Medicago truncatula: one gene and its partners. The protein of the gene in region 2 binds, or shares a complex with, the protein of the main gene of each other region. Links are inferred from orthologs where the notes say so. Each region holds a gene or a part of one and is shown on either strand. Other genes may lie near its edges. The genes, in order: DNA-directed RNA polymerase II subunit RPB7, DNA-directed RNA polymerase II subunit RPB2 and DNA-directed RNA polymerase II subunit 4.

The links.
Region 1: DNA-directed RNA polymerase II subunit RPB2 (region 2) and DNA-directed RNA polymerase II subunit RPB7 share a complex: the UniProt entries of both Arabidopsis thaliana proteins name them as parts of the RNA polymerase II complex. The link is inferred for Medicago truncatula from reciprocal best matches to the Arabidopsis thaliana genes NRPB2 and NRPB7.
Region 3: DNA-directed RNA polymerase II subunit RPB2 (region 2) and DNA-directed RNA polymerase II subunit 4 share a complex: the UniProt entries of both Arabidopsis thaliana proteins name them as parts of the RNA polymerase II complex. The link is inferred for Medicago truncatula from reciprocal best matches to the Arabidopsis thaliana genes NRPB2 and NRPB4.

Annotation. Positions count from the first base shown.
Region 1 is NC_053045.1:46,419,013-46,426,454, forward strand, and holds the start of DNA-directed RNA polymerase II subunit RPB7, read left to right. Parts: upstream 1-4,359; 5' UTR 4,360-4,485; intron 4,486-4,994; 5' UTR 4,995-5,032; coding exon 5,033-5,148; intron 5,149-5,567; coding exon 5,568-5,733; intron 5,734-5,845; coding exon 5,846-5,896; intron 5,897-6,449; coding exon 6,450-6,515; intron 6,516-6,632; coding exon 6,633-6,701; intron 6,702-7,442. Other genes in the region: 40S ribosomal protein S14, read left to right, coding at 1-74, 263-392, 646-713. UniProt on the Arabidopsis thaliana protein: DNA-dependent RNA polymerase catalyzes the transcription of DNA into RNA using the four ribonucleoside triphosphates as substrates. Component of RNA polymerase II which synthesizes mRNA precursors and many functional non-coding RNAs.
Region 2 is NC_053042.1:7,590,400-7,597,333, reverse strand, and holds the start of DNA-directed RNA polymerase II subunit RPB2, read right to left. Parts: upstream 3,016-6,934; 5' UTR 2,847-3,015; coding exon 2,589-2,846; intron 1,771-2,588; coding exon 1,549-1,770; intron 825-1,548; coding exon 534-824; intron 411-533; coding exon 213-410; intron 1-212. UniProt on the Arabidopsis thaliana protein: DNA-dependent RNA polymerase catalyzes the transcription of DNA into RNA using the four ribonucleoside triphosphates as substrates. Second largest component of RNA polymerase II which synthesizes mRNA precursors and many functional non-coding RNAs.
Region 3 is NC_053049.1:3,123,764-3,131,323, reverse strand, and holds the start of DNA-directed RNA polymerase II subunit 4, read right to left. Parts: upstream 3,049-7,560; 5' UTR 2,937-3,048; intron 2,818-2,936; exon of another isoform or gene 2,815-2,817; 5' UTR 2,800-2,814; coding exon 2,751-2,799; intron 1,830-2,750; coding exon 1,721-1,829; intron 1,373-1,720; coding exon 1,295-1,372; intron 779-1,294; coding exon 745-778; intron 619-744; coding exon 550-618; intron 1-549. Other genes in the region: E3 ubiquitin-protein ligase CHIP, read left to right, coding at 6,670-6,777, 6,875-6,942, 7,146-7,209. UniProt on the Arabidopsis thaliana protein: DNA-dependent RNA polymerase catalyzes the transcription of DNA into RNA using the four ribonucleoside triphosphates as substrates. Second largest component of RNA polymerase II which synthesizes mRNA precursors and many functional non-coding RNAs.

The DNA of each region.
Region 1 (7,442 bases), on a different chromosome or scaffold from region 2:
TCAAAGCTGACCGAGATGAGTCATCTCCATATGCTGCCATGCTTGCTGCACAAGATGTTGCCACCAGATGCAAGGTAATTGCATATATTTGTATCTTTTTATTCACTTGTGTTTTTTCTTGACAAGCGATTGCGTTGCTCTTTTTAATTTGATTGAATTCTTGTAATCTGATTGCTCCGCCTGTCGTATCAAATATTAATTGTTATTTCATTGGCATTTTCCATTAGCTGTCATAATTTGCTGATTCTGTGTTCTTGAACAGGAGTTAGGCATAACTGCTCTTCACATCAAACTACGTGCTACTGGAGGAAACAAGACCAAAACACCAGGCCCTGGTGCTCAGGCTGCTCTCCGTGCCTTGGCTCGGTCAGGAATGAAAATCGGTCGCATAGGTATTCCTTTAGTCCATTTTTAGGATGCATGTCTTGGTAAATTTGTTCCCTGCTGCTCTAAGCTGGTGATGTGGTCTATAGTTTTTTATGTGCTTTTGTTTTATGCGTTGTGTTTGTGAATCTTGTTTATGAAGTAATAGTTCTCCCTCCTAGTTACTCTTATTTTGTATTCTCAGCATTTGACGATGAGTTTCTAAGTTTTGATATCCAGCTTAATATCTAATTAGCTTGCCTTTTGTTTTTAAATTTGCAGAGGATGTGACCCCAATTCCTTCTGACAGCACCCGCCGAAAGAGTGGTAGAAGGGGTAGAAGGCTCTGAGTTTGCTATGGTATTATGGAAGGAGCTGCTTATGTTTTTATTTTGGTCACCGTGTTTTTGTTTCTTTCCAGACTGTATTGTGGCATATTCAAAAGTTCTACATGAGTTTATTTAGATACAAGTTAAGAGTCAAATGAAAGTTTTTCATGTTTCTTCTATGATTTACACTTTTGCGGATTTGATAAATTGCTTCATCTAATTTTTGTTTTGTTCTCTCATGTTTACTTTATACCGTATGAGAATTAGTACTTAATGGCATTGGTATAATTACCATTGAAATATCAATGGCTGTGAAATTCCTAGTTACTAGTATAGTGACCCGTGTCAGCACGGGGAAATAAAAATCTTTTTTGATCAAATGTATAGATTTTAAATTCGATATGAAATATCTAAACATTGCATATAACGATAAAAATATCTGGATTATTATACTTGTACTAATTATTTGTAGTATAAGATTCACTCATTGTTAAACTTAGCATATGTAGTCGGTAAATGCAAACGTTTAATTTTTTTACAAAGGTTTCACGATACACAACATCTGTGGTCTCCTTACAAACATTATTATCGTCATCCAGGATGAGCAGCTTTAGACCTTTTCTTGAAGTTACCCGAGAGACAGCGACATAAAGTTGTCCATGCGTGAACACAGGCTTATGAAGCTAAAACTCCATTCAAGATAAAGATTGACCTTGGCTTTTATTTATTGTCATTGCAAAACAAAGCGTCAAAGGAAATTGCCTGCGCCTGAATTTGAAGGGTAGTCCTGGATCATTCAGAATAAAATTCATCCTGGGAATGAATACCCTAGTACCTGCCCTTTTTCCTGTAATTACGGTAGCAACTATCGTGCTCTTCCCTAGATGTGTAACTTTCAGCCTAGTACCATTACACAGTCCATTGACCTGATCGATGTTTCTCATCAGCATAACTGGACATCCCACCTTTAGTTTCAACCTGTGATTTGGAATTCCAGAGCTCTTAATACCATTAAGAAATTTTGGTGTGAACCACTCGCTTTGGACATCAGAATTTTCACCCGATCTAAAAATAGAATCAGAGCTTAAATACTCTTTCTCTTCACCTGGAATCAGCGACATCATAAATTCGTTAACATGCTCAATTGAATCAAGCGTTGGTGCGAGTATTCCCCTTTCTTGGAAAAATAGTTGGTCACCAAGGTTATCATTTAGATCGGGATACACAAAGTCTATAAGTGACATCAACGGATTTGTTGTGTCTGATATCAGCAAATCTTCAGGAATTTCTACCTTCATTTCACCATTGTCACCCAAAGCATCGTTGCCGTCTCCAATTGAGAGTATCCACTTGCAAAAATTAGCAATTTCTTCCTGCTCTGCAGGTACCGAAGATGCACCCAATCTCATATTAACAGTAAGCCTCAACACATTACAATAAGCCCATATCTTTGACGAATTGACCGAGGCATTAACAATATCCGGTCTCGTTCCTCCTCAGACAACAGTTAATATCTGCCTAAAATCACCACCTAAAACTACAGTCAATATCTGTCATTCCACCAAGCGTTGGTGCGAGTATCCGGCCTCATTCCTACTTATGTTGATTGTAATTTGTAAACTTTGTTATGGATGTTTTCAATGGTTTTTTGTAGTTGCGCTAATAAAATCAATTTACCTTAGTTTAGTTATGCGATGTTAGTTGACCTATTTTAAAATTTGACATATTTGGTCTAAAATATGGCCATATGATATTTGAAGTTTTGAAGGGAATATCGAGGTTGAGTTTTTTTGTCATGAAATCACATTCTACATTATTTAAAACATTACAGATTTAATAAAAATGACAATGACAAAGGGACCAATTTTTAAAATAGAGGGTATGTGAAATGGTGAAAATACTGAACCAAACTTGCAATTGAACAGACAAAATTGTATAAGGTACCTTTTAAACACTAGAAAAAATACAATGTTTTTTTTATGTATGCAAATAAATTATCATTCAACAATTTATCTCTCCTACTATTGTGGATTTACAAATAAGTGTTATGTAGGAAGACATAAGTGTTATTTAGGAAGACATAAGTGTTATTTTTTTATTTCCAATAAATCTAAACCATTGAATTTTTTTAAAATTCTAATGGTAAAATATAAGTGGTACACCGGTGAGGGACTTAATTGCTCCTTCACCCTAGAATCCATCTCAATATATATGTGAAAGCAACAAATAATAACGGAATAAGCATATGTTAACCATAGTTTTAAAACTCGGCTCAACCATCGACTTGACAAAGGTATTGGGTCACTGGGTTAATGGTCGAACCATTGAGTCACTGGTTGAACCGCATGACTTAACCAGATTAAATCGGATGACTCGATCGAATAACTTGGTCTCTATATTAAACTTGTTTATGTAATATTAAATTAGGTTGAACAAGATGAATCAATCTCTAAAAATTTCAATTTTTTAAATTAGTTAAAAACTCCTAATTTTCTATATTCTTATTTTCTTTCTCCTTTTAAAATTTTCAAAATTAGGCTGTATATAAATGTTAATCGGAAGGAATGATGTCACACGTTTAAAAATATAAATACTTGCAACCAAAAAAATATGCATTCAAAAAACAAAAAAAGACAAACAAAAAGCTAAAATAAAAAAAAGAATATAAAAGTTGACCCGAGTCTAAGAGAAAAAAGGCCCAAGCCCATTGATCTCTCTCAAGGCATAACCCTAATTATAAAACCAACATTTTTTTTTTTGAAAAATGATATTTGAACAACCATTTTTTGACAATTTTTGTGACAACTTTCTCTCTCATACTCACATGATTATTCTACTTTCTCTCTCTATTGCTTTGATTTTTGTGCCACTATTTAAATTTCTTTGTAAAATTTGGTTGTCCAACAAGTTGTCACAATAAATGGTTATACAAATAACATTGCTCTTTTTTTTTACAAACAACACGTCTCTTAGTTATTTGCAGCCGCCGTTACATTTTGATTTTCCCCTTGTGCGATTCAAACACAGCGCAGCTTCTTTCTTGATGCTTCTTCTTCAATTGTTTTGTTTTCTATTTCATGTATTTCTTCTCTATACCTCTTTCTCCCTTCCTTTTCAGAAATTAATTTGAGCGACATCAATTTTTTGTTGTGCGATCTGCGATGGTGTTTGACCCGGTCCGAGTTGTAGAAACCGTCGGTTCATCGGTTTATTGAAAAAACCGGACGAGTCGTCCGATTCACACTGGGTCAAATGCATGACTGATCTAACTACTTACTTGAATCGGTTCTACCACCGGTTCACGGTTCGACTGGCCGGTGCTGGGTTTTAAAACAATGATGTTAACATATCTATCCGATTTTATATACAAACAAATAATATTTTTTGAAATCGAATAACTTATTGGGTGTGTTTGGTTTGCAAAACAACTAGTATTGGACAGAACAGTATAAGATAGAACAGTACTACAACACAACACAAAACATATTTTGGTATTTTATACAACTTGTGCGTGGGACAAAAAATTATGCTGTGGTTTGGTGAGGGACAAATATGAGTTGTTCTGTTCTGTCATGTCCTTCATTCTTTTAGCAAATCAAACGCACCCATTTAATTTATCTATAATAGAGTCTTATAGCAAATATAGTCTAAATATATCAATTATTCTGTAAATAAAAAATCGATTCTATAGATATATGAAAAACAAAAAAAATCCCCAAACAAGTCTAAAATAAAAACCGTGATTCCTCTCTCACTTCTTCCCCCGCAGTTCTTAGCTTCATCAACGAACAAGGTTCGTGTCTACTCTCTAGTTTCCCTATTTTCCTCTCCCCTATCTTTTCGAATTGAAGTGCGAAAACAGCGACTAGCCTTTTCTCCATCACTTCAAGAGAGTAACGAGGGTTAACACTCTAATTAACCACATATTCAGTTAATATTAGTTATTGCATAAGCAAATATTACAATCGAAGAGCAAATTAGGCTAAACTCTGTTTATTACTTCACAAAATTACCCGAACAATGAACTGTTACTAGGGCACACTTTCTCTCTAATTTCATATCCATTGAATTTCATCGACAACTTGTGATTTTTTTTTATTCGTTTAACTTACTATGTTATTTTCATTAGCGTTGGGAATTTGGGTACATTCATATATATCTTTTCATCTTTCTTTCATTGTTTGAAATGAAGTTAGTTGGATTTTTATTCGATTTAGGGTTTATATGGTTTTGACTGTTTTTTTTTTTTTTTTTTATGGTATTCTTTGAATCTACTCTTATTATTTGTTTTGTGGCCACAAGTAACTGTTCAGGTTCGGTGAGAAGGGAGAGAAAAGAAAATGTTTTTCCACATAGTGCTGGAGCGAAACATGCAACTGCATCCACGCTACTTTGGGCGTAACCTTCGTGATAATCTTGTTTCCAAGCTAATGAAAGATGTCGAAGGCACTTGCAGGTGATTCACCTTAAGATCATTTCACTCTTTTTTACAAAACCATAGTTCTAGTAATTAAACTTAGGACAAAAGATGCCATCACTTGAGATTTTTTCACTAACAGACTACTACTTGAAGAATATGTACTATGTTGTCTTTGATTTCTTTTCAATTTTGTTTTTGTTTATCATTTGAAGAAGACAAATTAAATAGAACTGCACTTTGAGCATTACTTGATGATGGAAACAATTTCAATTGAAATAAAGGGCCAGTAGAACAGTAACAGACCTCTTTAACCCCAAACTAACAATATCTGTGATAAGCCTTTTTGTGTCTTGGACTAATTTTGTTTGGAAATAAACCTGTAATAATTTGGATCAAACTGTTTCTGTTTTGGACTTTGTGGTGATGCAATTTTTGGGCTTTCAACTATTACGCAGTGGACGACATGGATTTGTGGTGGCGGTGACGGGAATTGAGAACATTGGCAAAGGAATAATTCGGGATGGGACCGGATTTGTGACATTTCCGGTTAAGTACCAATGTGTTGTCTTTAGACCATTTAAGGGAGAGATCTTAGAAGCTGTTGTTACCATGGTGAACAAGGTTTATGCAATTCCTTTCCCCTGTCTCTACATTTTACTCATTAGCTTTATCTAGGTGTCTGACTCTGCTGTGTTGATAAAGTGGTTTATATTATTGAGTTCTGTTTGTACAGATGGGTTTTTTTGCTGAAGCTGGACCAGTTCAAATCTTCGTTTCCAACCATGTAAGTTCTTTTATAACCTTTGACAAAAGGCCTCTATCATCATCTTCACCTTACACACTTGTACCTAAGATACTGTTATTATTGTTCTTCATTTTAAGCCCTAAAATCATGATTCTCATTTATTGAACTTGAGATTAGAGTAGTAAAAGACATAACCTGTCTTAAGTTATTCTTTCATATTGAAAAATTAAATGCACATTCCAAAAAAAAGAATTACGGAATGCTGTCCAAACTTGTTGAACTCAAGTTGCATAAGCACTTATGTTCTTCTGATTTCTGAATAATGGAAAAGAAATCGACTTCTTGTTTTGTCATTTGTCATATTGACTATATAGTATTTACACTAGAGATCATTATCTCCAATGCAATTCCTCTTTTAGATGTCTGTATGAAAATGGTTTTCATTGATTTCTTGCTAGGTTTGAAAAAAGGATAATTTGCAAGCTTTGAACTGTGACCCGAGTTTAGTCTCCCCCGTAGCTATTCTGTTTTGCCTTTGCTACTATTTCCTCATGTATTTTTGTCTTGATCAGACCCTTTTTTCTCCTTTCAGTTGATTCCAGATGATATGGAATTCCAGACTGGAGACATGCCAAACTACACTACTTCAGATGGATCGGTACATATCATTTATAATAATTTCTCATTGAAGAGGAAGAGAGCAATTTTTTTTTTTAGGTGTTCAATTTAATGTGTTTTCTTCTGTTTTTGGCTTTGATCGTTTGTTTTTTTGCAGGTTAAGATTCAGAAAGACAGTGAAGTGAGGCTAAAGATAATTGGGACTCGAGTGGATGCTACTGAAATTGTAAGCCTGTATATATTGCAGCTTTTAGTTTGCTTTTATTTATGTTGTTAAGCTCCATCAGTTTTATGTGAAATTATACTTTTAAGAAATTCAAATTAATAGGATATGAAAGCACTGTGGTCTGTGCCAGATATAGCTTTCATTTCTTGCAGGTCTGCTTACTAGTACAAATTGCTAGAGAACGGCCTTAGTTTATGATAGTTTGATTTTTAAGTTCATGGTAGGACCCTTGGGCCTTATGACACAGGTGATCCAATTATAAAAGCAAATATGAATAGACCCACTACATGGTAGGTATACACGAGCAGGGGAAGACTGGGGTCAGTGGGGAATAGTGGAAGTTAGTTATGAGGGGTCCCTAGATTTTATTTGAAGGAGGGAGAGTCTAGGTGTGAGGGTATTCCGGATTATGCTATTGAGCTGGGTAGGAGATAATATCTCTCTGGTTAGGAGTCACTGACTCTGGATGTACTTTTATTTTCATTGTAGAGCTAGATCTCATTTCCTTTTATGAAATAATGCACTGTCGCATTGCTCATAACTGTCGGTTTCTATCAGTTTATATGATTCACAGGCTTAGCAGTAGTGATCTGTACATACCATAAAAGTGGCGATAAATTTATGCTAGTGTTTTACCACTTGGTTAATCTTTTATCACCACCATTCCAACAACCATGTCAACAGTGATCAACATGGAATGTGAAAGTGACTACCAAGTATAGGTTAATCTTTTATCACTTT
Region 2 (6,934 bases):
CTCTCGTAAGCTAAAAACTAATCCAAACTGGGCCTTCATTCGATTATAAATAATATGCAGTACAAGAGAAACAGACTATTCCATCTTCGGAACAGTCTGAAATATATTTGGATTGTACGACGATCTCACTCGAAACTAATATATAATTACTCTAGACAAACAATCACCATTTTGACTGTAAGCAAAAAATATATAACAATAGCAAAACCCACCTGTTGATTTTGTATCACAAATGCTTCTTCCAGGGAAGGACGAAGCAACTCCATCATTTGAGTATCCGCAAAGTCATAGCATATATGTTCAAGGATATCCTTGTCGGCGACAAACCCCAATGCCCGAAACACAATAATGATAGGAATTTCAGTTCGAATGTAAGGAAGAGTAGCACGTATATATTGCCCTGAAGAACCCTGGTAGGAATAAAAATGCATAAACTTAGACATTGTATAAGACATCAAAACATCTGCAAAATGTGACTCGCCACACAGCAAAAACTACACAAAAACAACAAATATACAGCGATTTTCATTTACCCCTTTGGCACTAGCCCGAGAGAGCATGCGCACAAACATAGTGCTAGGTGGTCTGTTTTGTGACTCTGCCATGGAGCGAACTTCACCCACATAAGCATACTTGTTAGGTTGTCTCTTCTTGAAGACGTAGACATGATTGGTGCTCATCTTCTCCTGAGCAATAAGAACCTTCTCACTGCCATTAATAATGAAATAACCTCCTTGATCATACGGACACTCTCCAAGCTCAGTCAAATCCTTCTCTGAATTCTGATATAGTGTGCAATAACTAGACCGAAGCATAATAGGAACCTAATAACAACAAAACCATTACTTAGGTTACACAGGCCTCAGAAGTCCGATCCAATTATATTTCACCACCACATCATAAAATAACTTAAAATTCTCATTTACTCTGTCAAGAAGGCAAAATTAGTACAATATAGTTATAATTGACTATAATCAAAGTATAATCATTAAAATAAGCTGATTTAAATGTTATTCTGACTTGAAGAAGGCCCTAACACATTTATTCAGTAACAATTTTGATTATGTAAGTAAGAAGAAACACCACAAACAACAAAAAAGGCCTACTGTGAGCTTATCACTGAAGTAAACTGAAAATGACAAAAGGACATAAATAGAAGCTTAAGCTTATCATTGGAATTTAATAAACTGAAAAAGACTTCTTATAGGACATGTCATTTACTTTAATAAATATATCCAAATACTAATATACTAAACTACAACTATAACAATTGGTTGTAAAAACTCTTCCTAAAACCCTTTTAAGCATGTATCTTAGAATTTGGATTGAGCCTAACTCAACCTTACAAAACCAGCTTGTAAGGTGAGGGCTGCCCAAACTTCATAAACACTACACAGGCGATTTCTTTAAGCAACGTAAGACTAAATCCACCCAATTAAGGTATTGGATGCTGCAATGAAGGCAGCCCAAATGCCACAATTAGGCGGATAGGGGCGGACCGCAATGAAATCAGAATCTGTAGAATACTAGAATTGAGAGGAAGGGTACCTTGCCAATGAAAACTTTGGTGAAATCTTGAGTCTCAGTGACCTCTTCACCATCATGCCCTTTCTTAATGACCCTCTTAGAAACATCAACATACAAAGGAGCTGAGTAAGTAAGATTCCTAAGCCTGGCGGCCTTAGGAAACAATGTAGCAGTTTCTCCATCAGATTCCGTCATCATCGGCTTACTCAAATAAATCTGCCCAAAGCTTATTTTGTAAATCGTCTGCAAACAAAACCAAAATCATATTAACATCAACATCAGATTCAGGTCAGCCCGTTCGTTACAGATTATTAAAAAAGGGATTCACATACGCAACAATTTAGATATTAATTTTTAAAAAATAAAAAAGCATATGCATAAAAAAACACTTTCTAAAAAAGAAAAAACCACAAAATGATTTTCTAAAGAGGCTACAAAAGAGCTTCTCATTTTAAACAATTTTTAGATTTTTTTTTCTTCAATGAAATAATCACTTGTAGAAATTTGCATCCATTAGTTACAGATTTTCAAAACAACAAAAACAAAAAACAACAGCTTCTCCATTGAAGCAGTTTTTAGTGTATGTTTGGTTCTGTGGTGACAATAATTGATTTTGGGTGAACTGATTCTATAAAATTGATTCTAACTAAAAGTGAGCTCAAGGTAAAGTGATTTGTGTTTGGACACATTTATGTAAAAGTGAGTTGAACTATAAATTTGTGTGTAAAAATCAATTCTATAATCAAAAGCTACAAATCCTAACTTCAAGTAAATCACTTTTTATAAGTGATTTTCACTCTGGTAAACAAACACAAAACAACTAACAACTTCTGCTTTTTTTCTTACTTTAAAAATTAATCGCTATATGTTTTGAAGTATCCAAATCACTTATTTTACAATCTCTAACAAACAAACCCTACAAACACTTCTCATTGTGAACAGCTTTTTTCTTTCTTTTTTCACAACCACGTTATATTGAAAATTGAAAATCCGCAACAACAACCAAATTTAATCATCTAATTGAAAAAAGTGATTATCTAAGTAAGTGCTTATCAAACTACCTCAGCGAAATCAGACTGATGTCCAGGATTGTGCTGAGATTCGGGTCGAATTTCGATATCAGCGGATTCATCAACTATCTCCTGCATCGTGTTCTGAATGAATTCATCAAAGGAATCAAGCTGTTGACGTACAAGTCCTTTTTCTTCAAAATAAGCAGAAATCACAGCCCAGGCATCTTCCTGGGTAATCTCTTCTTCATCGTCTTCTTCTTCCATTTGCTGATCGAATTCATTTTCTTCTTCCAAATCCATCATCATTTTGTTCAAATTCGAAGTTCAAATTATGCGGTGTTTTAGTGTAATTTTGAGTGTGTTTTTAGTGTGAGAGAAAGAAGACGAAGATATGAAACCCTAGCAGAGAGAAAAAAGTGAAGAGATTTTCGAAAGAGGTTTGATGTATGAATGAATGAATAATGACTTGTGGCTTAATGCGGTGCTCTTTTATAGCTATGACTCACTCACTCGGTTTTTTTATACGTCCGTGGGTAATGCATCTCAACCCATAAACCATCAAATTAATCTCTGATTTTGTAAGTTGAACCGAAATGAATCTCGGATTTTTATGAATATTTTAAAAAGGTTTTTAACTCTTCTATATTAGTCCGTTCTTTCAAAAAATAAAAGCTATATTAGTCCATCAAAGAATATAATAGAGACTAAATTGGTAGTAAGTGGATAAATTTAGGAATAAATCGACAATAAATTGTTAAAATAAGGTGATTGAACTCATGGTAAATTATTAAATGTAAGCATCAATTTGAGAGTTTAATAAAGTCTTAAAAGTTTTTTACATTTTCACAGAGTCAATGATCTATTCGAAAGTGTTATATAAAATCAAAAATTAATTTGGTGGTTTATTCATATTTTTATGACACTTGTTAGTATGAGTTAACAAAAACAAATGGATAGACATGAGCTTAAGTGGTGGTTAATAGTTTAAGTGGTAAATAGCTTAAATGGCTAATAAGCTCCATTAAATAATGAATTGTTCACGGGAATCTAAGTTTGATTCTTTGATGAAGTAATTATAGTTGGACTTTACTTACTTTTCAGTCGAGCTTTTGATTATTAGGATCCATTTCTTGTGTAAAACATAGGGTTATATTAATCCGTCAAAGAATATGATAGGGACTAAATTGGTAGATGTTGATAAATTTAGGAACAAGTTGACAATAAGGTGTTAAAATAAGGCGATTGAACCGATGGTAAATTATTAAATATAAGCATCAATTTGAGAGTTTAATGGAGTCCTAAACTTGTTTTAAATTTTCATAAAGTCAATGATCTATTTGAAAGTGTTTTATAAAATCAAAAACTAATTTGGTGGTTTATTCATATTTTTATGACACTTTTTAGTATGGGCTAATAAAAACAAATGGATAACCAAGTAAATGGGGTTAAGTGGTTAATAGTTTAAGTGGTAAATAATTTAAGTGGTTAATAAGCTCCATCAGATAACGAGTTGTTCACGAAAACCCGTGTTCAATTCTTTTATGGAATAATTATAGTTAGACTTTATTTACCTTTCAATCGAGATCTTGATTATTAGGATCCATTTCCTGTGTAAAACATAGGGTTAACACACAAAAAATGGATAAAATTTAGTGGTTTGAGTGTTGGGGGAAGCAATGACGAAACTGCAAAAAATTATTAAGTGGTTTTTGTTTGGAATCTCCTAAGTAAATTATACTTTAGTGGTTGATGAGCTCAACCAAATGACAAATTGTTCATGATAATCCAACCTAAATTCGATTTTTGGTAGAATTCTTGGACAAACATTACTTACATCGCGATCGAACTCGGTATTAAGAGCTTCTTTCTCTTGGAAACCAAAGGGTTAATACATAATAAAAGAATAAATTACAATATGCTCTCTTATGTTAAAATATATATATATTCTCCTCTTTTAGAAAGTAAAAACTTATCCTCTCCTCCCCTAAAACTAACATAGCGGAATGGAACGTAATGGAATGGAATGGAAAGGAACAGAATGGAAGGGAACAATGATACCATTCCATTGTTTGAATATTTTATGATGGAATGGAGCTAATTTTCCATTCTATTGTTTGAAAAGTCGAGAGAATTGAATGAGTTATAACTTATTTATTTCAATTTTACCCTTTTATTTAAAAAAACATCAATAGGTGGAACAAACAGTAATAACAATTAAAAAAAATCTTTAGGTGGGCTAATTTATACAGATCCAAGCATAAAATCAATGCATGAACTCATAAATGAAACATGGATACCACTTTATGCATTTAGGATATAAAATATATGCATTCGGGATATACTATATGCATTTGAAACAAGTATATATTACTAGGTGCATTTCAGGATATAATAACATAAGATTTACAAGGAACAAGCCTATATTGTTTTATCAAAATTGAAACTTTACCATTGTATGGATAAACAACGTATCCAACAACAATTTTGTCGATAGCTGTATTACTATTGCCACCATTCCATAATAGAAAAAGATAATAGAAAAAAAATAACGAAGCTGTATGAATTTAAAAAAAAAAATAGAAAAAATAGGGACAAAATTGTAATTGTGTTATTAATGTGTTCCATTCCATTGAATACACGTCAAGAGAAATGCTACCCACAGTTGCTCTAACAACCGCGGATAAACACACGCTCGCTGATTGGACATTATTTCTATTATTTTAAAAGTGATGACCGATTTACAGGTTGCCTAGGTTGAAGTATTTTTTTTAACATTTTTTTATTTTTTTTTGCATCGATAAAAAGTTCCTCGTTACCACAAAACATCAAACCACTTCTACCACTTTCTTGTCCAATTCTTTCTCTTTTGTTGTCCACCTGAAAGTATCCATTAAAAAAACCACCATAACTTCAATCTCTAGCACTCGATCAACATGAAACTCAAGAGCCAAAGTTCAAACCTTTATCCAACAATAACACCACTTCAATCCCTCCATCAACTTTTTCCACATATTTCCCATCCTTATGCAGCACCATCCAAGATCGCACATATCAAAGTGTCTCTAATTCTAATTGTAAGAAAGTAATAAGATCTAGATCTAGAAACACATGTAACTATTTGATTGGTTGTTTCCCTCTTTTCATTTATAAACACCCTTTTCGTTGATGTGACTGTTCTCGGCGGCAGGTACGATGGGGTTTTTGTTCAGAACTGTGGGAGTGAGCATTAGGGAAAAAGATGAGTATGTGATTCATGAAAATTGTTTCAATTTCTTCCTTCCTCAATGCCACATTAATTGAAAGTGTTAATGGTGAATTCAAATATGGGCACAATCATAGATACGTTGTGAATGTACATGGCATCTTCAATTAGAAATTTTTTGGGTGAAGATGATGTGAAAATGGTGGTAATGTTGTAGAAGCCTTTTCAGTTCAGTGTGTAATCTGCTTTATGTGATATACTTTATCCTCTAAGTAATTAAAAAAAAGTAAAAAGTCTTAATGAAAAACAACCGGTAACCAAGAAAAGAGTGACCACGTGGCCCTATATTTGCTCGAGTATGAGAGAGCGAGTGCTAAGCGATGATTGGATCACAATTATCTCCCTTAAGAATTAAACATGTACTACATTTTAACGTGAATAAATATTTTTATAAAAAAAAAAAACTTAAGGATTTAGAATATAAGATATATTTTTAAAGAGTTTGACTAAAATGTGCAATATTGCACATGTTAAAGCAACTAAAAGTAGTAAATTTTTATTAAAAAATAATACTTATTTATTAAAATGTTATATATTAAATACAAAATGTACAAATTTCAATGCAAAGTTGTTATTTTAAACTTCTTAACATGTGAAAATTTTGCACATGATAGAAAAACTCGTTTTTAAATAGCAAAATTTTGTCAACTTTCGTAATTTATCAAAATATTAAAAAATTTCTTTGTATTATTTTATATTTTATAATATGGTTTAAAACAATATGTTAATAACATTGTGAATAAAAATAGAGAAAATTCTGCATTCAAATTTTGGTTATATTAAAATAATCTCGCATTACTCCTTTTCTACACCATTCGTGTGTTTGGTTTTCGCTTTTAGACTCATAAAAAATATTATTAAAAAAAAGGATAGAAGAGCATATTTAAAAAAAAAAGAAAAATTTGATGTGCAAGAAATGTAAAATGATTTTAACAAGTAAACTCTTGGTGCCGGGTCTCGAACGATTACCTTTAGGTTGTAGGGCAAACCTCGCAGTCAAGTGACTTCTCAGGAGACATGCTTTAACAAGTAAACTGCTGCAATGTAAAGTGCATACAATGTAAATAAATTTGAAAAGTAAAGACGCATTTACCTTGCACGTTTCTTGTTTTCATTTTCACTTCAAATTTTT
Region 3 (7,560 bases), on a different chromosome or scaffold from region 2:
TGGAATATATTATGGTGAGGGCAAATGGTAAAAGAACAATGTAACAGAAGGCTCGCGGGAAAAATAAATGAAACATATTAATAAAAACTGAGATGCCATTACGGAGATAAATAGTAACCCAATAAAATCCTCCAGCTTTTACTTATGAATTCTCCAATATTGGGAATTTTTGTAAATTTAATTGCCAAACTTGTAGATATTTCTGATTTTGCTCATTAACAAAACAGAATTTTACACCAAAAATAAGTTATTCCCTGCTAGATAGTATTGACCACATCAATCAAACAATACTACCGTCCTACCAACTCCTACCAACTCGATAAAATTTTAATAGAAATTTATTCAAAGAGATAAATTTATAGAACATCATATTTGATTCAATTCATGCCTTTATTTATCTCCCCTTCTTCATTTTAACAAGCATGAAAGGGAGAATTCAAATCATTTAAAATTGACCTAACATCACCACTCCTTCCCAAAAACAAACCCTTCTCATCCCCGCCCAACAGGAAAAGTTTACAGAAAGAAGGAGAGGCAAATTATTTCTACCTTGATAGATGGAACCATAGCAATAGCTTCCTCTACAGTTTCCGGGCAAAGATTGCCTAGGACACACAGCTGCAATAAATTCATTGAAACAGTTAATTGTATTGTGTGAAATTATAACTCTTTTTCTTTATCCTCATAATAAAATGTGAAAACTTGCTTCCTAAACCGAATTTGTGAAAGGAATAGTCATATTACCTCAAATTCAGCCAACTGATATCTCGCAAGAATTCTTAAGCCAGTTAAGATCACAATCTGATACAGGGCTTTGCAATTTCAAATTTCTTATTAAATGATAGAAAGAGATATTACGTAGGGGTCTATTTGGTTCAACAAAGGGGAGAGTTTTTAATTAAAAGCATGTTTGGTTTAAAATGAGGGGAGGAATTTTAAATGGTTTAGAAGTGTTTTTAGTCACCTCACTTCCAAATCCCCCCAATTTGAGGGGAAGCAAAAAGTGGTCTAGGAGGGGTTTTGATTCCCTCCCATCCCCCTCTCTTAAAAATTGAACCAAACATAAATGATTTAAAATATCCCCTCCCCTTCAACCACTCTCAACCAAATGGACCCTAAAAGGAAACACAGGATCCAGAAAGACAAGAGAAAAGTCAATCAAGAAATAAAAGAAAACGAGATTATTCATTATTATGAAAGAAATGAGATGGACACCGTCACAATTTTCATTTAAGTAAATATATGAATCATGAGAAAAAGAAAATGGGTTCATCAGCTCAGTTTTGGAGGATACTCTCGAACTTGTCTAACAGCATCAGGATTTTTGTAGCGGCTGAAACGCTTCACATACTGCAATGACTTTTCAAATACCCTGAAAAAAATAGAAGGAAAAACACATTACTCTAAGGTGCTAACTACAACATTACTCCGCTTCTATATCAACATCGTTGTCAAATTCATCATTGAAAATATGTAAATTGGGTTTGGCAAGTTCAAGGACATGTTATTTAATTTAGGTATTATTACAGCGGCAGACATCAAAGCATAACTCTCTTCTTCCAGCAATAGTATCAAAATAAAAGATCTTGGAGTCATTAAGCATAACAAATGCATGTCATATTCCCGGAATAAAAAGTAATTTAGCTAGGGGCGTAAAAATGGCATGCATGAACTTTACGTCTGAATAACACATGAACATTGATACAGGATTAGAACTCACTGAGAAACTTGATTCATGGCATCATCAGACGACTGCTGAAGCTGCTCATATTTGTGTTCCAGAATTAATGAAACCTCACAGTTCATCAAGCACTTTGCTTTCAAAAACTCTGGAAGAAAAAAAAAAAAACTACTTCTTTAGCGAAAAAACAAAAAGTCACAACAATTATACCAAACTTGAAACATGTTCAATCAATCCAACATGACAAAACATAAGATCGTTGTCTATCAATGAACCAATCAGATTTTGAATGGTGTAATAAAATAGCTATCTGAAAGGAGTATGGTGATACGCCGCAACTAATCAAAGCAACACCCATTACTTATTACCCTCATATACTAACTAATCACCTAAAAATATAGATAGTATTATAGTATATCACTTCAGAATATGAGTTTAGGTATTATTCAACGTAGCACATGCTAAAAGAATAAGGGAATTGGATTGGTTTACTTGAGCTTATCTACTGGCATAAGCACTTGTGAGAAGAACTTAAGAAAACAGCTTATGACATGTTCATAAGCTGTTTTCAGCTTATTTCTATACACTCTATAGGATAGCTTATAAAACAGCTTTCTGCTCAAGTGCTCGTACAAATTCATTCAACTAGATTATCCGCTGTGAGCTAGCTTATCGGTTATCCTCTATAAATAAGTTCATCCGTCATAAGCTAGCGTATCAACTATGGTAAAAAATAGCATTAGTTCATTAACTCAAATACGAATTTATATATAAAACACATAATTATAATTCATTAACTTGTTAAATGTTCAGATATATAAACATCATCCTTAAAAAAAAAAAAAAAAAAAAGATATATAAACATCATAGCTCAAACATCTTTGAAACCATACGAAGATGAAGTACTGATCTCAAAGAAACACTGAACGAAGAATTACTATGTACGAAGGTAAAATTTTCAAATTAGGGATTTAAAAAATTACTAATAATGAAACACTACGTAATTCAAGCAAAACAGAACGCAAGTAAAGAAGCAAATTAGTGGAGAAAACCGAGAATGAGTAATTACCGTCTCCGATTTTGAGTTCAGCGGCGTTTTCTTCCTCTTCACCAGACATGATTCACTCCTTCTTCTGCTGAATTCAATTAGGTCAGCACAGAATCAGTAATGAAATTAGTACAAATCAAATCAAAAAGATAATGATGTGATTGGGAAGAAGAAGTAGAAGAAGAAGAAACGGTGTAACGAACTAACCAGAATCAAAACGGTGAGAGAAGTTGAGGGCTTTGTGTCGTTCACCTGGGAAGAAAGTAACACTCGTTTTGGATTTTAGACAACGTTAAACGCAGCGTTTATAAAGCTACCACTTTCCCTTAAAAAAATAAAAAATAAAAGCTACCACTTTATTTCTCTCAAAAACTAAAATAAAATAAAATTGGATTAATAAGTCTTTATCCTCAATAATATATATATGGCATTTTTAGTTTTTCTTTGAAAAATAAAATTTAGATTCGTCCTCGTAAATTAAAGATTTTTTAGGTTTGCCACCCGAGCCCTTCGAGTCATCAAAATATCTTATTGACGTGGCAACTACGTGGCTTTTTCTTTTTTTATTTATTTTTTAAATGTCACGCGTAAAAAAAAAATTACACGTCATTAATAAATAAAAAATTTTAAAAATATCAAAATTAATTTTCAAAAATTATAAAATAAACAAATTAATTAGGAAAAAAATTATAAGAAAATCTAAAATTTAATATATTTCGAATTTTTCAAAAAATTATAAAATAATTACGAAAAAGATTCTAAAATATCCAAATATAAATTAAAAAAACTTCGAAAATTATAATATTATCTAAAAAAAATATTTTGAGAATTAAGTTTCAGATTTTTTTTTAAATATTTGTAATTTCGAAAAAAAATTGATTTTTTTTAATTTCGAAAAAGATTTCATAAAATTTCAGGAATAAAACTCTCGAAAAAATTTGAAATCTTTTCTAAATTTAATTTTTTTTGAAAAAACAACTGAAATTAAGATTTTGATTTCAATTAAAAAAAATTATATTCAAAATTTCATAAAATTTGAATTCTAGAACAATATTTCATGATTTTATAAAAAAATTCAAAAACAAATCTGAATTTTTCTAAATTTAAAATTTTCGAAAAAAATCTGAAGTTAAGATTTTAAAAATTTAAATAAAATCAAATTTTTTTCAAATTATATAATTGGAATTTAAAAATATTTATATCCAGATTTTTAAAAATTAAAATATTTTTCAGAATTTTCTTTTTTTGTAGAAAAAAATTTAAAAAACTTTTTTATTTCGAAAATAATCTGAATTTTTTTTAAATTTTGAAAAAGAGAAGAACATTTTCTATTTCGGAAAAAAAAAATCTAAATTTTTTTTAATTTTTGAAAAAAAAATAATTTTTTTTTCGATTTAAAAAAGGATTTTCGTTTTTTTAAATATAAATGACGTGTAAACAATTTTTTACGCGTGACAAGCACAAAAAAATGGAAAAGAAAAAGTGTCACATCAGAGATTCTACTGAGTCAATGGGCTTAGGGGGCAATCGTGAAGAATCTTTATTTTATAAGGACGGAATCTAAATAAAAAATTACAGGGGGCAAAACCGAAAGTACCCTATATTATAGAGGGGTAAAGGCCTATTAATCCAATAAAATTTTATTTATTGTAAATTCTTTCATGACCCTAAGTTTTGGTAATATCCTATCTTGACCTCAAAATTCATTCATAATTAAATACAAGATCTTTTGAGTATAAAAATTAACAACCAATTAAGAAAAATAGAAACAAATAAATTATTATCAAGATTATTTACAAAATTATATTAAACACAATGTTCGAATATGGGTCAGAATCTCCTTAAAAAAAAAACAGAGAAAAGTAAAGGATACATGTAAGAACCTCTCGCTATTTTTTCTTTATGGGTGTGTTTGGTTTGCAAAACAGTAAGTATCGGACAGAACAATATAAGATAGAACAGTACAACACAAGGCAGAACAGCATAGGACAAATTTTTTATGGCATTGAGTAATTTTTTGTTTTATACGATTTTTGAGGGACAAAATGTTATTTTGGTATTTTAGACAACTTGTACGTAGGATAAAAAGTTGTGATGTGGTTTGGTGAGGGACAAAAATATAAGTTTTTGTTCTGTCGCTTGCCTCCAGTTTGTCCTGTACCTGAAACAGTTTTATAAATCAAACACTGGACAACTAGAGTTGTTCTGTCTTATCCTTTATTTTTTAGCAAATCAAACGCACCCTATATTTTTTTTCTCTTTTCATAGTTATAGCTTTGAAGAGTTTTAAATGTATATTATTAAATAATTGGAGTTATCGAATATCATCATATTGTTGCAATTATATTTCAAAACCATTGATAATTGAAATAAAAAAAAGTTTAAATGTATTTTTTTTCCTCTTAATTTTTAAAAAGTTGTAATTTTGACCCTCCAACAAAAAAATTACAATTTTGATCCATTAACTTTATAAAACATTGCACAACGCAAACAAAAAAAAAATCAATTTTTGCCCTCTATCCTAAAAAATATGTACTTTTGACCTATTGTTTTTTAAAAATAGCAATTTTGGTCCCATATTTTGACATGTGACGTCTTCTCGATTGTCTTACAATTTTTTTGTAAAGTTAAGGTAAAAAATTGCTATTACTTTTTAGGGGTCAAAATTGCAATTTTTAAAAGTTAAAGACGCAAAAATGCATCTAAGCTTAGAAGAAAGAAGAAGAAAAAAGACTTGACTCATGATATGCATCCTATAACTAATAGTCTCGATCTCCTAAGAATGAAAAATATTAAGTGCATAATGCATTTTAACTTTGGTGAGCCTGCTCTTTTTTTTTCTTCTCTCCTTCACGATTGGTTTGATTCCTTCATATCTCGGCCTCTACATTTAATTGATAGGAACAATACGATGCAATATGTAGAGACTGATATTCGAATCATGAATTATTCACTTATTCACTTTATGGATGAAACTATAACCACTAAATTATTTAGTATAAATTTTTTGAAACCAAAATTTGTTATATTTTTTCAGCATCTAGAAGAAGGAAGTGAAAAACACTATTTAAACTTACACACCAAATTTCAAGTTCGAATTTAAATTAAAATGGCCGGATTAATGCGATAATATTAATTGAGATAGATCTTATAAAAACGAATTGTGTTATTCTTTAAAAAAAAAATGAATTGTGTTAAATTTACGTATATGGAATTGTCTAATATAAACTTTTTTTTTTTTTTTTGTGGTGGCTGGGGTTCGAACCAACTGAATTATGCTCACGAGGACAATATAAACTCGATCTAATATAAAAGAAGACTCTACTATTTATATTATATTTTTGTTCTCCCTTTTCATGATTATAAAACTTACTTTTTACTAAAAATTAAGTTTCTTAAAAAAAATAATAGTAATAAGAAGAAACATAAAATTGTTTTTGAATGACGGATATTAAAATAGGATGGACAACATGAGAAGATCCAAATTATTTTTTATTTTTAAACGTAATTGATATTAGACCAAAAAAAAAAAAGAGAAAAAAAATAGACACAACCTTCAACATATGTAAAAAAAATTATTACATACAAAAAAACAGATATATTTTTTTTTGAAAGATATATAAAAACAATATATTCCACAGTTTGTTTATTTAGTTGATAGAAATTTTTTAGATTTTATGACAATTTATTTTGACTGGATATTGACAAATTTAATTTAATTTAATACATAGCGTGATTTATGACAGAAACTGCGAGGCGTACAACTCAATACTCACATCATATTTCCAAAAACTCGTTGTTACCTTTCTTCATCGGTACTCTCCGTTTCTTCTTCTCCAAATTTCTACAATTCACATTCAATTCATTCACATTATAAACATCAATTCATTCATTCACATAATAATCTACACCTATAGATATAAACATTAGATATAGTGAAATGAGGCCAAACGCTTCGGCGATGAGACAAGCCGAACTTTTGCGAAACGACGGTAACAATTACTTCAAGAAAAACCGTTTTAATGCCGCCATCGATGCTTACACTGAGGTTTCATCCAAATTTTCAGTTTTTACTAACCCTTTTCTTTTCAATTGCAAAAATTAAAACTTTGTTTCGTTTCTGACATGGGTTTTTTGTTTTGTAGGCAATTACGCTTTGCCCTAATGTTCCCGTTTATTTCACCAATCGTGCTTTGTGTCATCTCAAACGAAAGTATGTATTTTTATCAATTTTATGATTATGATTTTTTGGGTGTTTTTGATTGTTTAGGGTTTTTAATTTTGATTTGAAATTTGGGTTGTGGGATTTTTAGGGTTTTGATTTCTGTATGCAATTGAAATTGTGGTTGGAATATTGATATTTTGGAGGTTTTATTGATTACAATTGTGTCCACAATGTGTTTGGTTTATTTGTAGTGAATGGGAGAGGGTTGAGGAAGATTCTAGAAGAGCAATTCAGCTGGACAGTCATTCTGTTAAGGTTATAATGATTGATCTGTTTGTTATTTTGTAATTACTCCTTTTGTCTCGCTCGTGGTTGATTTAATGGCTTCATTCATCTGTTACGAATATTGCTTTTGCTTTTGAATGAATTTGTTTGCACATTTAGTTGTATGAGCAATGCTATATATCACGGACCCTTTATTCGTGAAAATGCACGCGCGATGCACATTTTGGGTTTAAAACAATCCACGTGACTTTACATTCTGATTAGGCGTAAAACAGATTGGGTATTGATGCTAAATAGCCTATCATAACTTTTCGTGATGTTCTGCATTTTCTTAAATTTATTTATGCGTGGGGATACAAATTCCTCGATGTTAATAGATTC